3 linked regions of the Callithrix jacchus genome follow. The protein of the gene in region 2 interacts with the protein of the main gene of each other region in a pairwise test. Links are inferred from orthologs where the notes say so. Each region holds a gene or a part of one and is shown on either strand. Other genes may lie near its edges.

Region 1 (4,758 bases), on a different chromosome or scaffold from region 2:
ACAGATCATGCATGAAATAATTCAGTATGTAATTATACACTGTTACACATTACAAAACTATAACCAGAAGCATTTGTCTGTCCATGTCTGGCATAAATGGCGCAGTTCTCAATCTGGGCAAAGAAACTAAGAATGAATTAGTGAAGTGTTATCCTAGTTCAGGCGGTTCTAGAGGACCAAGTAAATAGTCCAACACCATGCTTAACACCGCTGCATTGATATTTAGGGCTCCTGTACTTTATAATCATTAAAATTTTGGCAACAGTCATGAAATCAAGCACAGTCAAAAAATCATGATCTGTGGTTTTCTTTTTAATTATCTTAAGTCTTATAATCACACATCATTTTTAAATTTGTGTATATCTCTTCTACTTTAATCCTTTAGAGGTTGGCAAAAGCACCATTCCCAATCACAAATACACAGCAGTTATACAGTTTTGTTTCTGAATGGCTGTTTTTAAAGACAATCCTAAATTATAACTTAGTTTGACTTAGATTGTAAAGAATCCAAGAGTGAAGTTTAATTGGCTACTATTTTAAAAGCATGTGACCTTATAGATCATCTATAAAATGTGTGAAGTGTTAAATAATTTTTTATATTACACATAAACCACACAAAATGCCTTTCAGTAAGTAAAAGGAACCATTTTAAATACAGGGTACTCTAATTAGATTGGCATAGTTAAGGCCAAAAATATAAAATAGCCATTGCTACCCGTTTATCTTCAACCTTGCCTTTAAGAGGCAAACGAACACAAAACACAGGTGAATCTTGCTTGGTTCTGAGACTGTGAAGGAATTGCCCCCATATTTAAATATATTCACATAACCAGTCATATAAATCTAAATATAAAACCAATCTCCAGTAAGTTTTAAGATGGCACTCACCATCTTTGCGAAAAGTTTTAACATTACTAATGAAGTCTAATCATATCTTTAGAAGGGGTGGGTGTGACAGAATTTACTAAATTGGAATTACTATTAAAATCCAAAAACTGAACATATTCATTTAACCACAAGCCAGTCTTAGTCTTAAATCAGGACTGCCCAACAAAATATTCTGTCAGTCATTCATGATGTAAATTCTGGTGTATGAGATCTATTAAAGTACGGTACACATAAAAAAGTCATGAGACATTTGTTTTGTAATAAATAAGGCAGTGGCCAATTATTACTCATTAGTAGCTTTTTTGAGATAAGCTATTAAGTCTTCCCTTTCTCCCTTCTTCTTAATGCCGACAAAGATCATTTTTGTTCCAGGGATATACTTCTTGGGATTCTCCAAATATTCCATCAGTGTATCCTCTCCCCAGATGATGCCTAAATGATAAAGAATGCATCCATTAAGTATTTCACACTCCGGAGTTTGCCACAGGTTACGTTCATGCGTTTTGTGCTGTTTTATTTAACAAGTGTTCTCCTCTTACCTTTGTTTTTATTGGCTTCAGTGTAAGTGAATCCAGAGGCCTGACCTGTCTTCCGCCCAAAGATACCATGGAGATTAGGCCCAGTCTTGTGCTTGCCTCCCTTTTCCACCGTGTGACATTGGGAACACTTCTGAATAAAAATCCTCTTGCCTTTCTCAACATCACCCATATTGAATTCTAAAAACGAAAGACCCAACAATAATTTTTCTTCAGGTAACAAATACAGTGTAAACTAATGACCACTCTAGTCACTTAATTACCAATCCATTGATAATTTATGTCATTAAATACTAAGATGAATCTTCTTTTGCTTTAATACTTTTTATACCCAATACTCTTTCATACCAAAAACATTTTTTAGGAGCACCTCCTTAAAAACCTGTTTTTGTGTGTATACGTGAAGGAAGGTTAAAACCCAAGCAAGCAAATGGGAACGTAATTCAAACTTCAGTTTCAGAAGATAAGGTCATGATCACAAACAGTCACAGATACGAAGCAGAACAGCGAACATTAAGTGAAAATCACCACAACTGCAACTTTTAAGAAGGTCTAATCATTTAATCGTACTACAATGTAAAGCCACCTCTCCCTGAGGATAATGCAAAGCACAAATGTTTAAAAATCGGTCCTGGGTCCCGGCGCGGTGGCTCACGCCTATAATCCCAGCACTTTGGGAGGCTTGGAGGGGTGGGTTGTCATCACCAGGTCAGGAGAACGAAACCACCCTGGCTAACATGGTGAAATTCTGTCTCTACTAAAATACAAAAAAAAAAAAAAGCCGGGCGCGGTGGCTCATGCCTATAATCCCAGCACTCTGGGAGGCCAAGAGATTGAGACCATCCTGGTCAACAAGGTGAAACCCCGTCTCTACTAAAAATACAAAAAACTTAGCTGGGCATGGTGGCGCGCGCCTGTAGTCCCAGCTACTCGGAAGGCTGAGGCAGGAGAATTGCCTGAACCCAGGAGGCGGAGGTTGCAGTGAGCCGAGATCGCGCCATTGCACTCTAGGCTGGGTAAGAAGAGCGAAACTCCATAAGAAAGAAAAAAAAAAAAAAAAAAAAAAAGCCGGGCGTGGTGGTGGAAACCGGTAGTCCCAGGTACTAGGGAGGGCGAAGCAGGAGAATTGCTTGAACCCGGGAGGCGGAAGTTGCAGTGAGCCGAGATCGTGCTACTGCACTTCAGCCTGGGTGACGGAGCGAGACTCCGTCTTCAAAAATAAATTAAAAATAAAATAAACGGTTCTGATTGTTTCTACCTGCCCAGGGCACAAGAGTAGCTTGACACTACTCCTGCGTGAATTGGAGCGCAGGAGTAGGCTGCACGGTGTCCCCAAGAAATCCCCAACTCTCTTACCGGTGATCCCCCCGAGGTGACCACGAGGTCACCCATCCAGGTCGGTTTCAAGGTGACTGATGAAACCCACGTTTCTAGGACGCCGCAACGATTGAAAGAACAAACATGTGCCCACGAAAAGAACAACCCCTTATTAGAGGAGCAACAGCTTTTGCCCTCTGAAGCAGAAAATGAAACGCTACGCTTCGGTTTTAAGGGAGGGAAGTCTGGCCTATCGTTTCCATAGCCCTTCAACAACCACGACGGAAGAGGACGCGTCTTGCCGTCTCCAGTAACTGACCGAGACCTTAGTTGGGCTTCCGCCCTACCTCAAGCGGTTGATCGCCTGGCTCTCGTTTGACCATAGTCTAGGGTCCTCACGTCCGGCCTTCCCACCCCGCGCGGGCTCCCCTCGAAGGCTCCCCGCGTATCCTCGCGAATACGTGCCCCCCACAGCTCTGCTTCTAACCAGATGCGGCTTCCGCGACCCGCTCTCACCTTTTTCGTGGTTAGCGCAACAAAGACTACCACTCAGAAGCCGGACGTCCCACTCTCTAAGTCCAAGGACACGCCGGTCCGCGCCTAAGTACCAGTGTAAGTGCAACCAAACTCGCTCCGCCCTCCCGCGCCCTGACGTACAGCCGAGCTTGCGGCTACGCAGTGACGTTGCCGCGCTTCATTGGCTCCAGTGCCAATGCTTGCGCCAAGGATCTGCGCGCGCATACCAGCGAGCAGGGTAGGCTGTGCGGCGTGCGTGCCCTTCCTCTCCAGGCCTCTCTTGCCGGGCCGTTACGACAGGCCTTTGGTCAAACGACGTCGCGGTGGTGCCGGGAGGGGTGACGTCACTCGCAGGTCTTTGTGCGCTTGCGTATACTAGAGGGGCGGGGAGGGTGGGGCGGAGTCGGTGGTGGTTTGGCGCGTTACCCTGCTAAAGTAACAGGCCTGGTGATGTAATGAGCTTTGTTTGGGCAGGGCGTTCCGCACGTCCAGGAGAAGACGCCCTAATTCTGGCTCACCTAGAGGTCTCCTAGCTACCGTCTCGTCAGCAGACGACCTTTACCCAGGCTCTGTCATACTAACACTGCTGGCGCCAACAGCATCCCAGAGGCACAGCCTGGAACCAGGAGTTAGACGAGTTGGGCACTTGCTCGTGACCTTGTTCTAGTTCCACCTCTACTGTGTTACTTTCAGTCATCTTCTAGCTCTCCGCTTGTTGGACGCCCCAAGAATGGGGAAGGTGCTGCATTTGCGGTAGAGACAATTATATCTCTGGCCCCTTACCTGTCGGCAACTTTTCTGCCAGCGCCCTCCTCCCCCTCACGTTCGTGTGCAGAAAGAACATGGAAGGTGTGTTGGCACCATCTAAGAAGAAACATGTTTAGATGATTAGAGAATTCTTGGAAATCTAGAGGATTTGCATCCCTTCTGACCTAGGTAAATGTCATGTTCAAGTAAGCTTATGCATGAGGTCTTATTAGAAATAAAGGCGTTAATACCACAGCTTTTAGTTATTATAATTTAAAACTAGATCCCCTTCCTGACATGCTCAGTTCTGTCACTGGTTTTTTTTTTTTTTTTTTTTTTTGACACCTTTACTCCTCAAATTCTAGCCCCATGTTCTGATTAATTTTCATCCTTTCTTGTATTCTCTCCCCTCCACTCCCTCGCCTTGTATTCTATCTGACACTGCCGTATTCAGTCGTATTCATTGGCCGGACAAGGTGATTCACACCTGTAATCCCAGGACTCTGGGAGGCCGAGGCGGGCTAATCACCTGAGATCAGGAGTTTGAGACCAGCCTGGCAATATGACGAAACCTCGTTTCTACTAAAAATACAACAATTAGCCGGGCATGGTGGCACGCACCTGTAATCCCAGCTATTCACGAGGCTGAGGCTGAGACGGGAGAATCGCTTGAACCCGACAGGAAGAGATTGCAGTGAGTTGAGATCGTGCCACTGCACTCCAGCCTGGGCGACAGAGTAAGACTGTCTCAAAC
Region 2 (4,226 bases):
TTTGGAGTAGTGGGTAAAAGTGTGAGATTTTTATTCAGATTGCCTAGGCTGAATCTCTTTTCACCACTTACAAGGGTCTCAGTTGCTTCATCTGTAAAATGGGCATAATAATTGGACATTTCTCCCAAAGGTTATTGTGAGATCTAGAAGAATTAATCTACATATAATTAACTTATAAATGTCCTGGCACATAGTAAGTTCTCGATGAATGTTAGCTATGATTGCCATCAAAAAATGTTCAAAGAGCAAAGTAATTTGTTACGTCATTCAGCTTTTCATTTTCTAGCTTTATTAATATATCAATTGCTTTATATTTTATGAGTTTTAAAAGTTTATAAATGTGGAATATTTAAAAACACTGGTCCAGATAGTGCACGGGTCTTTCTCTCTTTTTGAAATGGCCTTCACAGTCTGTTTCTCAGCCTGATTTTTATAGCCGGTGGATTGGAATTAGGAGTGGCATAAAACCTCCAAGGAAAGCCATTTGTGGAGTTATTCACCTTCTCCACAAAGGCAGGGGCAGGAGAAGAGTTTGATTTCTTCGTCTGGCACTGGCCAGGGGTATTTCACATCTTAATTCAGAGACACACTGGAATGATCAGGCTGAGCAGTAATAATGCCTTGAGCAGTTTTAGTCTAGCTTAAGCAACATCTGCCCTAGTTCTATTCACAAACATCAACAGATCATCTGTCAGTGTAACTATGTCACTCTTGGAGTCCTTCAACGGAGTTGCCACTTTCCTTACCTCTTCATGGGTTTTCTTAAGGCAAAGAAGATCTTCCTTCAGAGACTCCACATGGGCCTCCAGGTCGGATTTGCACAAGGTCAGCTCATCCAGGATTCCATGCAGGCCGCTGATGTCAGCCTGTAACAGCTGGCGAAGGGACAGTTCACTGTCGTACCTTTCACAGCAAAAGAGAAATCCAACACTTATTCTGTTGAATGCTGTGCAAAGTGTGAGGATACATGGAGGATCGACATATGAATTTCAGGAAGCCACATGCAGAATTTCTCTTAATTCCTGAGTAATGATAAATTCAAGCTTTTAAGACATTCTTAACTTTAAGATATTATATAGAGAATATTTGTGTGTGTGTGTGAGAGAGAGAGAGAGTGTGTGTGTGTTTGTGTGTGTGTGTGTGTGTGTGTGTGTGTGAGAGAGAGAGAGAGAGAGAGAGAGAGAGAGCGCCATAAATTATTTTCAAAATAAAATTAAGCCTGGGTGTGGTGGCTCATGCCTGTAATCCCAGCACTTTGGGAGGCCAAGGCAGGCAGATCACCTAAGGTCAGGAGTTTGAGACCATTCTGGCCAGCATGGTGAAACCTCTTCTCTACTAAAAATACAAAAATTAGCTGGGCATGGCAGCACATGCCTGTCTGTAATCGCAGCTACCTGGGAGACTGAGGCAGGAGACTCGCTCAAACGCAGGAGGCGGAGGTTGCAGTGAACCATGATAGTGCCACTGCACTCCAGCCTGAGCAACGAGGGAAACTCCACCTCAAAATAAATAAATTAAATAAAATTCAACTCACTTTGACTTAAAATCCTCAGTGGCCAGTTTGCAGTTGTCAAGCTGTACAGCAAGTCTAGAATTCTCTGCCTTCGTGCATAAGATCTGTGAAGAAAGTCCTTATTTAATAAAGTATTCTTTGAGAGAAACCTAAATAAACTACTATCCAACAGCTATGCCATTAGTTATCCTTTGAAAGTCTTTATAAGAAAGTGTAAAATGGCCGTTAGCTGCTTTCCGTATTCACCGTGTCACTTGATGAAGCAAACAAGCAGTGCCAATTCAGAAACAAAATAGAGACATAAAAAGGTTCACTTTTTCTCATAACATAAGACATTTTGCACTATTCCTAGGCAGTGGAACGCCATTAACGTTTTTCTCCATCAGTAGTTTGTATTATGACTATACCCTCTCCCATAATGGAAATTCATCAGGGAGAGAAGAAAATGACTAGGTGGTTAAAAAGATGGCATTTCATGATCTGTGTTCAGATAATATAAATGTTCAGTGTCACATACAAAAGCGATTTTGGATATAACACAGTCTTTTTGCATTCTATAGATGACGAAGGAAAAGTCCACAGACAAGTTACTTTGTTATAGTTACTCAGTAATCAGGGGTAGCTTTAGGGGTGGGACTGAGGTTTCCCGACTTCCAGCACAGTGCTCTTCCCTATGTACCATTAACTTGTAGAACTCTCCTTTCTCTTGGTTTCCTTCTGTAAAACAGCACCTTCTAGTAGAAAGATAAAGCAAACCATAGATCGAGAAGCTGGAGCACTAGGGCAACAGGACATGCACCTTTTGTTGGAGATCTTCAATGGTGTTGAAGTAACACTGATAATCGGGACATGCCAGTGGGATATCCTGTTCACATTGCTCTTGGATCCTGGATTCCAGCTCTGCATTGGTCTCCTCCAGGCTGCGCACCTTCTCCAGATAGTTGGCGAGTCTGTCATTCAGGAACTGCATCGTCTCCTTCTCATTGCTAGTGAACACTCCATCCTCACACCAGGCACAGTTCCCCACCAAGCAGGGACTACTACAACTCCCAGTAAAGTAGCATGGCAGGAGGCAACCGGTCAGCCCGAGAGACCTGGAAAGGGAGCTAGGGGTCTGACATCGGGATGCAGCACAGGAACCGGGGAGACAAGCTGTCTCCATGGAACAGCTTGAGGCAGGTGCACAACAGGAAGCCCTGGTACAGGACTCAGGAGAGCAGAGCGTGGAGGAGCAGTCAGAAGACATCCTTCTAGAAGCAAAGACAGAGACTGGCTGCAAAACACCAGTTGCCTTGACTCCAAAACACTCCTTCCCTCCTGAGAGTTTTATATAGCGCCCCCTCAAAATGGGTGTTTACAGACTGCACCGGATGTTTTCGTCATCATTGATGGTGCCGGTTTTTATACAAACATCTCATTAGAGTTGTTTATTTACTGAAGAAGAGTTGTATGCCTCATAAAAGGGGGATAACTTTAGGTTACCAAAGCAGGGCCCACACCATTTCCATGTGCAAGACAAAACACTTATTTCAGAAAATCATCATAGGAAGCATTGTCTTTTTGACAGAATAAGAAAAGAAAGAGAACATTTGGCCAATCAATAATTATAGATACAACTCATTACAAATCAGGAAATTAATATTCCCACAGATTTTGATTCTGTGCATTGATTGCTTGTGTCTTCTTTAAAATTAGTATTACGGCTCATAAAAGGACATTCATTTGTTTGTCCACCACTATAAAAATGGTCAGTGTGGTTAGCAATCTTCCAGTGCTTTTTGTGATCTTAGAGCATGTGCTGACAGGACTGGAGAAGTGAGGTATATACTGGGTTTAAAGAGTGTGAGTGTGTGTGTGTGTGTACAAACCATGTCTACCTGCATACAAATGGAAAAGTCTCTTTACACAACTGATAGGAATAACTTGTTTCCTGTAAGTTAAAATATATATTGGTTAGAGCTGGAATTATGATCTTTGACTTCCTGAAACTTGCCTTCTCCACACTTCTTATTTTTAGATAAGTCATACAATTTTACCTGTATTCCTAATAAGAGTGAAATATAAATTTTCTAAGTTATAATCTTTTAGTCCCTTGGGAATTCCTCAGTGATTATACTTCAGAAAAGAGGGAGGAACCCACAGGAGTCTTTGCTTCTGAGATGTATAAACATACTGGAACTTGGGAAATAAAATTCTATTCAGGTTCCAAATGACTAATTCCACTGGTTGAAATCTCTGATGCCAAATCTGACAGATAGGAGCTTGAGATGTGTGACTTTTTTGGATTCTCTCTTGAATTTCACCTCCGTTATGAAGTACAATCTATTTCACTTTGCTTAGCGTTAGTCATGACATGTATTTCATTTTCAAAGGTGCACAGAGAAAATTGCCTCTAGAATTTTTAAGAACATTATAGGAAAAAAACACATTAATCTGAAAAAGTTAAAAAATTTATGATCCAAAATAAACTTATTTCTTCTCCTAATCTTGAGTGCTGCTTCCTGGGTAGCTGAGAAGAGAAACCAAACCAAACCAAGCCAGAGAACATATGTAAGTGAGTTAAAATAGTCTCTTACTCCCTGGGCAGAGTTGAGTTTGAATTTAGTGATTCTCTTTACACATCAACACTTATGAGAAAAGTTTTTAGAGTGCTTCATGGTATGCTGATGCTGCTTTGCAACAAACACAAGTTCAAGGATTCAAAAACACTTTC
Region 3 (4,943 bases), about 16 Mb from region 2:
GTTGTCTCATTTTCTAATGAACAAATACATGCCCTGGATCTCTGCTAAAGCAGGACACGCATTTAACAATAAGGATAATAATTACACGCTGTGACTCCACTCAGGGTGCCCCTGGGGCCCAGTTAGTGTCTAGGAGGTCAGAGAGCAGGGATTGTGCCCAGGCTAAAAGGCTACCAGCCCCAGGGTGAGGAACTGTCCTACTTGCCTGGGAGAGCAGAGGGGCTCTGTAGAGGAGTACGGGCTCCGGAAGGCTGCCTCCCGCCTCGACCGCCGTAACGGGCGGGCACATGAGCCCATCTGGGCAGAGAGGCAGTGATGCGCCTTCTCCCAGGGGCCTGAGGGTGAGTAGGCAGGGGTGGCTCCAGACAGCCGGGTGCTCTTCTGGCTCAAGCTGTGAGTTGGGGATCCACTACCCTTCTGTGCTCCTCTCTTCCTCCTCCTGGCCTTCACCTGGGTCTCCACCAGCCACTTGGTGCCACTTTGGCAGGACTCCTGGATTCTCTGGAATAGGCAAATGGAAATGTTAGCACAGACAAAACCAAGGGTGAGGCTGGGCGGCGGTGGCTCATGCCTTTAATCCCAGCACTTTGGGAGGCCAAGGCGGGCAGATCACTGGAGGTCAGGAGTTGGAGACCAGCCTGGCCAATGTGGTAAAACACTATCTCTACTAAAAATACAAAAAAATTAGCTGGGCATGTTGGCGGGCTGTATCCAAGAACCTGTAATCCCAGAATCCCTTGAACCCAGGAGGCAGAGGTTGCAGTGTTGCAGTGAACTGAGATCACGCCACTGCACTCCAGCCTGGGCGACAAAGTGAGACCCTGTCTTGAAAAAGCAAAAAACAAGGGTGAGCTACCACCACCCCTAGACCCAACAAGTGTCCTGTAAATACAGGCTGCTGTTAGTCTCCAGGGTGAGGGATGTGAATGACTCCTCGGGAAAGGACTCCATGGCAGGGATCCAGCTCAGAGCTTTTGGATATGACAGCAGCAGTCAGCAGCAGGATGACCTGCCCTAGTGCATGGAGCCTGTTTGTCTAACTCTCCTTCCAGATACAGATTGACCCAACGACTGTGGCGGGGGCGGGGCAGAGAAGAGCAGGCCAGCCTGCCTACCACCCCCTGCATACCAGGAGAGCATTTGGGTGGATCACGACGCAGTTAGGAGATCAAGACCAGCCTAGCTAACATGGTGAAACCCCATCTCTACTAAAAATACAAAAAAATTAGCCAGGAATGGTGGCACACATCTATAAGCTCAGCTACTTGGGAGACTGAGGCAGGAGAATCACTTGAACCCGGAAGGCGGAGGTTGCAGCAAGCCGAGATCACGCCACTGCACTCCAGCCTGGGCAACAGAGCGAGACTCCATCTCAAAAAATAAAAAAAAAGTTTCCAAATAAGGACTAACATTTGGCTCAGAGAGCTCTCTGCAGAGGGTCTAGAAACAGCCACCCTCTCCGCTCATCTTTGGAATTCCCAGTGAGACATCGAGGAGAAACCTCTGCAGTCTCCAGTCCTCTCACTGAAGGTCCATTCATCCTAATGGCTTCTGTCCTTTCTAAGTGACCCCTCTCTACCTCCAGCTCTGGGTTGAAAGATGCATCCCTTAAAGGGCCCATAGACACTTACAGCCAATATAAGGATGTCTTCCTGCCAGCACCTCTCATTTCACATTAAATCCCCTCTAATCAACCTTCTAGGCAGTTCCCGAAGTTTATCCCCTGCAAGTCCAGACCCTTAGGTCCCCCTTCAGGAGCTTCTCTGCTTCCATTCCCTTCTCCATTATGTAGCTAAAGGGCAAATTCTAACATGCTAATTAGACCAGACTTTCCATTGTTTTAGAATCCTATGGACTCCCACTCCTGATCACTCCCGGGAGAGTCTAAGCTCCTTTATATCCTTTCTCCCTGCTCTACCTTGCCCTGTGTCCTTTGCTCATTCCCACACTAAAATTCTGGCTCTCCTCAGGGGTCCATGGCTGAGTGGGCAATCTTGTTTTTCCTCAGCTCCTCCTGCTCCAGGCCTGGACTTGAACTATTTCCACTGCCTTAAATACCACTTGACCTTTGGCTTCCCTGGGTGAACTCTGGAGGCACCTCCTCTGGGAAGCCTTCACCAACTAAGCTTTCGTTTGGTGAGCCCTTGCTATTGGCCACTTGCTTGCAATTTCCTATCACATACAGCTCTTATCACCTGGTAGTGTGAGCATCTGTTTCCTCCAAGACATGCTTTCATTCATTCATTCAACTATTTGTTGAGCACCTATACATGCCAGGAACTATTTGGGGTGCTAGGGAAACAGCAGTGAACTAACCAAAGTCCCTGTCTTCATGGAGTCTATATTTTTGGAGGCTCTTTGAAGGCAGGAACTGTCTGGCACCAAGGAAACCCTTCATAAAAAAGATGGTTAGTATTGTCGGTATTACCTGGGACATTGCACCCAAGGCACTCTTAGCTGAGCGAGCTGCTGCCTGGAGGCCCTGCTGCCCTGGCTCTGGGGTTTCCAGACGTTTCCAGGAGGGGCCTGGGCGGAGGTTGAGGTTGACGGCTTTCAGGGGCAGCCTCCTTTGGAACTGTCTGCACAGGGACCCCAGGGCCCCGGAGGAGGTCTCCTGATGGCCGGCCACAGGCTGCAGCTCCTTGCTGTCCTCCAGCTGCTCTTGGTGCTGGAGAGATCTCCGGCGCACGGAGGTCCCCATGCTCTGCCACCGAGAAGCCATCTGCCAGGCCAAGTCTTTTCTGCCCACTACACCCTGGGGCGGAGGGCAAAGAGCAGGTCAGCAAGGCATTCCGCATCCCCATTCCCAGGCCCCACAGAGACCCTGGGCACAGGGGAGGAGATGGGATGCAGCAGGGTGGTGGGGAAGTTTGCAAGTGTGGGTGCAGAAAGGAAGATGCTTCCTGGAAGAGGGGTCTCAGGTCAGCAGGATTTCTGCTGTCCAGCACTTTAAGTTTCCAAAACAGCTGTCCTTTCATCCCAACCTCCTTCCTCTCTCTGCCTCAGGCAAGGAGGGGAGGCAGGATCAGGACACTCCAGAATCGAGCCTCAGCGCCGGGCCCAGGACACGATTACCATCTCCTTCACCAGCTCGGCCAGACCCAACGCACCACCGCCCAGACCCCGGCCTTCCCACCAGACGGCCCCTCGCCCTATTCCGATCCGACGCTTGAGGTACCCAGACGCACCCCCACGCCGTGCATGTCCGAACCTGAGGTCCTCCTGCTCTGAGCAGAAGCCCCACCACGGTCCCGCCCGCACTCACCAGACACCAACGCTGATCACACCCGAGCACGGCTGCTTCTCGCCCACTGCAGCCGATTTGAAACTCTGCGCGGCTCCGCCCCGGCCCGTCCTCCCAGCTGATTGGCTCCGTCCCCGTCCCCGCCGCCGGGCCGGGCATCCAATTGGCTCCCTCTCTAGCGGCTGCAGATGCTGCGCTCGGATTGGCCCAGGCGTCCCCATTCATTGCTCCGGCCCCCGCCCGGCCTCCAGCCTCGTGGCTCCTGGCTTTGTATCCCGCGTCCAGCCTTCGCGGGCCCAGCCCCCGCCCCCGCCCATCGCACGCCGGATCCCCTCCCAGGAGCGCGCAAAAGTCCAGGCTGCTCTGACCCATGGGGTGGAGGCGGAGGTCCAGCCACCGAGACCTCCTGGCTCAGGCTCCAGGCCCCGCAGCGCCAACCCGCCAAGGGGCCTGGCTTTTCCTTCTTGCTCAGTGGTTCTTTCAGAAAGAGCCAGGCGCTGGCAGCGCGGAGCCCTGGGTTTTCCAGAGACATTTTCTTTCAAATTTCCCTCCTGACCCTCCCTTCCTGTGACAAGACACTGCCCCTCTCGGAGTTCCCCATACTCGCCGTCCACACTCCGCCCCCCTAGAAAACGCGTCCTGGAAGTGGGGATAGACCAGAGGATACCAGTCTGCCCTCCTCCCGCCCACCCTGGCTCTCTGCCCGCGCCTTGCCTCTGGCATCCCTCCCTCCCTCCAGCGGAATGCCTGTCTCTCCTCTCCTTAGCATCCAAACAAAACAAGCCATTAGAAAGCTCTCTCCAACCCATCCTACTCCTTTCGGTGACCTCAAAGCAGCGCTGCCCACTCCCCCGGTTAGTTTCTTTGTTACTTCTCCCGCACAAGAGACTGAGATGATGGTTCCTTGAGGCTCTGTCTTCAACCCTCTTCGTTTCTGGGTGGTCTTACCCACTTTGACGTCAGTGATTTCCCCCCAAAGGATGATGATAAGGATGATGTGTATATGACACTTAGTATGCACAGGTCCTGGTGTTTCAGTTTATTAACTCATCTGACCCTCTGTTATGGTTTGACCATGTCCCTCAAATTGCAAATGTTGGAAATATAATGCCCAAATTCATATATGGGTGGCATTTTTTAGACATATAAATTGTTACTTATTCAAATTATACAGCACTGAAAAATAAGTGAATTGTAACCAGATCACTCTTATTTAGCTGTAACTCTGTATCTTTTAACAAATCTCTCCCATTCCTTCCTCCCACCTACCATTCCCAACTTAGGTGAATATCAGAAATATCATGTTAGATTTGAAAAAAAAGCAATATGCAGAGTATGACACCGTGTAAGTCAAAAGCAAAAAACTAAACAATATGGTTTAGGAATATACAGACACATTTGTGGACAAAGGTATTATGGAAAGCAAAATTATGTAAGCACCAAAATAAAATAGGTAGTCATTTTTGGAAGGGTGACAGGAGAAGAGGATGTATTGAGGGAAGGGCTCAAAGGACTTCAAAGGCAATGTTCCATTTTGTAGACTGGGTGGTAGCCACATGGATGTTTATTTTCTTCTTTTTGACCCCCTTTTAGACAGGATCTTGCTGTGTTGTCCAGGCTGGTGTGCAGTGGTGCAATCATGGCTCACTGCAGTCTCAAACTCCTGGGCTCAAGCAGTCCTCCTGCCTTGGCCTCCCAG

Evidence for each region.
Region 1: the proteins of KRT40 (region 2) and CYCS interact in binary tests that used the Homo sapiens proteins (3 or more experiments, as listed by UniProt). The two-hybrid records come from large-scale screens. The link is inferred for Callithrix jacchus from reciprocal best matches to the Homo sapiens genes KRT40 and CYCS.
Region 3: the proteins of KRT40 (region 2) and PIMREG interact in binary tests that used the Homo sapiens proteins (3 or more experiments, as listed by UniProt). The two-hybrid records come from large-scale screens. The link is inferred for Callithrix jacchus from reciprocal best matches to the Homo sapiens genes KRT40 and PIMREG.

The regions. Positions count from the first base shown.
Region 1 is NC_133512.1:32,935,858-32,940,615, reverse strand, and holds CYCS (cytochrome c), read right to left. Parts: upstream 3,316-4,758; 5' UTR 3,258-3,315; intron 1,605-3,257; 5' UTR 1,597-1,604; coding exon 1,428-1,596; intron 1,321-1,427; coding exon 1,172-1,320; 3' UTR 292-1,171; downstream 1-291. UniProt on the Homo sapiens protein: Electron carrier protein. The oxidized form of the cytochrome c heme group can accept an electron from the heme group of the cytochrome c1 subunit of cytochrome reductase.
Region 2 is NC_133506.1:92,275,950-92,280,175, reverse strand, and holds the start of KRT40 (keratin, type I cytoskeletal 40), read right to left. Parts: upstream 2,801-4,226; 5' UTR 2,760-2,800; coding exon 2,313-2,759; exon of another isoform or gene 1,618-2,312; coding exon 1,535-1,617; exon of another isoform or gene 904-1,534; coding exon 747-903; intron 1-746. UniProt on the Homo sapiens protein: May play a role in late hair differentiation.
Region 3 is NC_133506.1:107,999,747-108,004,689, reverse strand, and holds the start of PIMREG (protein PIMREG), read right to left. Parts: upstream 3,316-4,943; 5' UTR 3,266-3,315; intron 2,756-3,265; 5' UTR 2,723-2,755; coding exon 2,429-2,722; intron 502-2,428; coding exon 202-501; intron 1-201. UniProt on the Homo sapiens protein: During mitosis, may play a role in the control of metaphase-to-anaphase transition.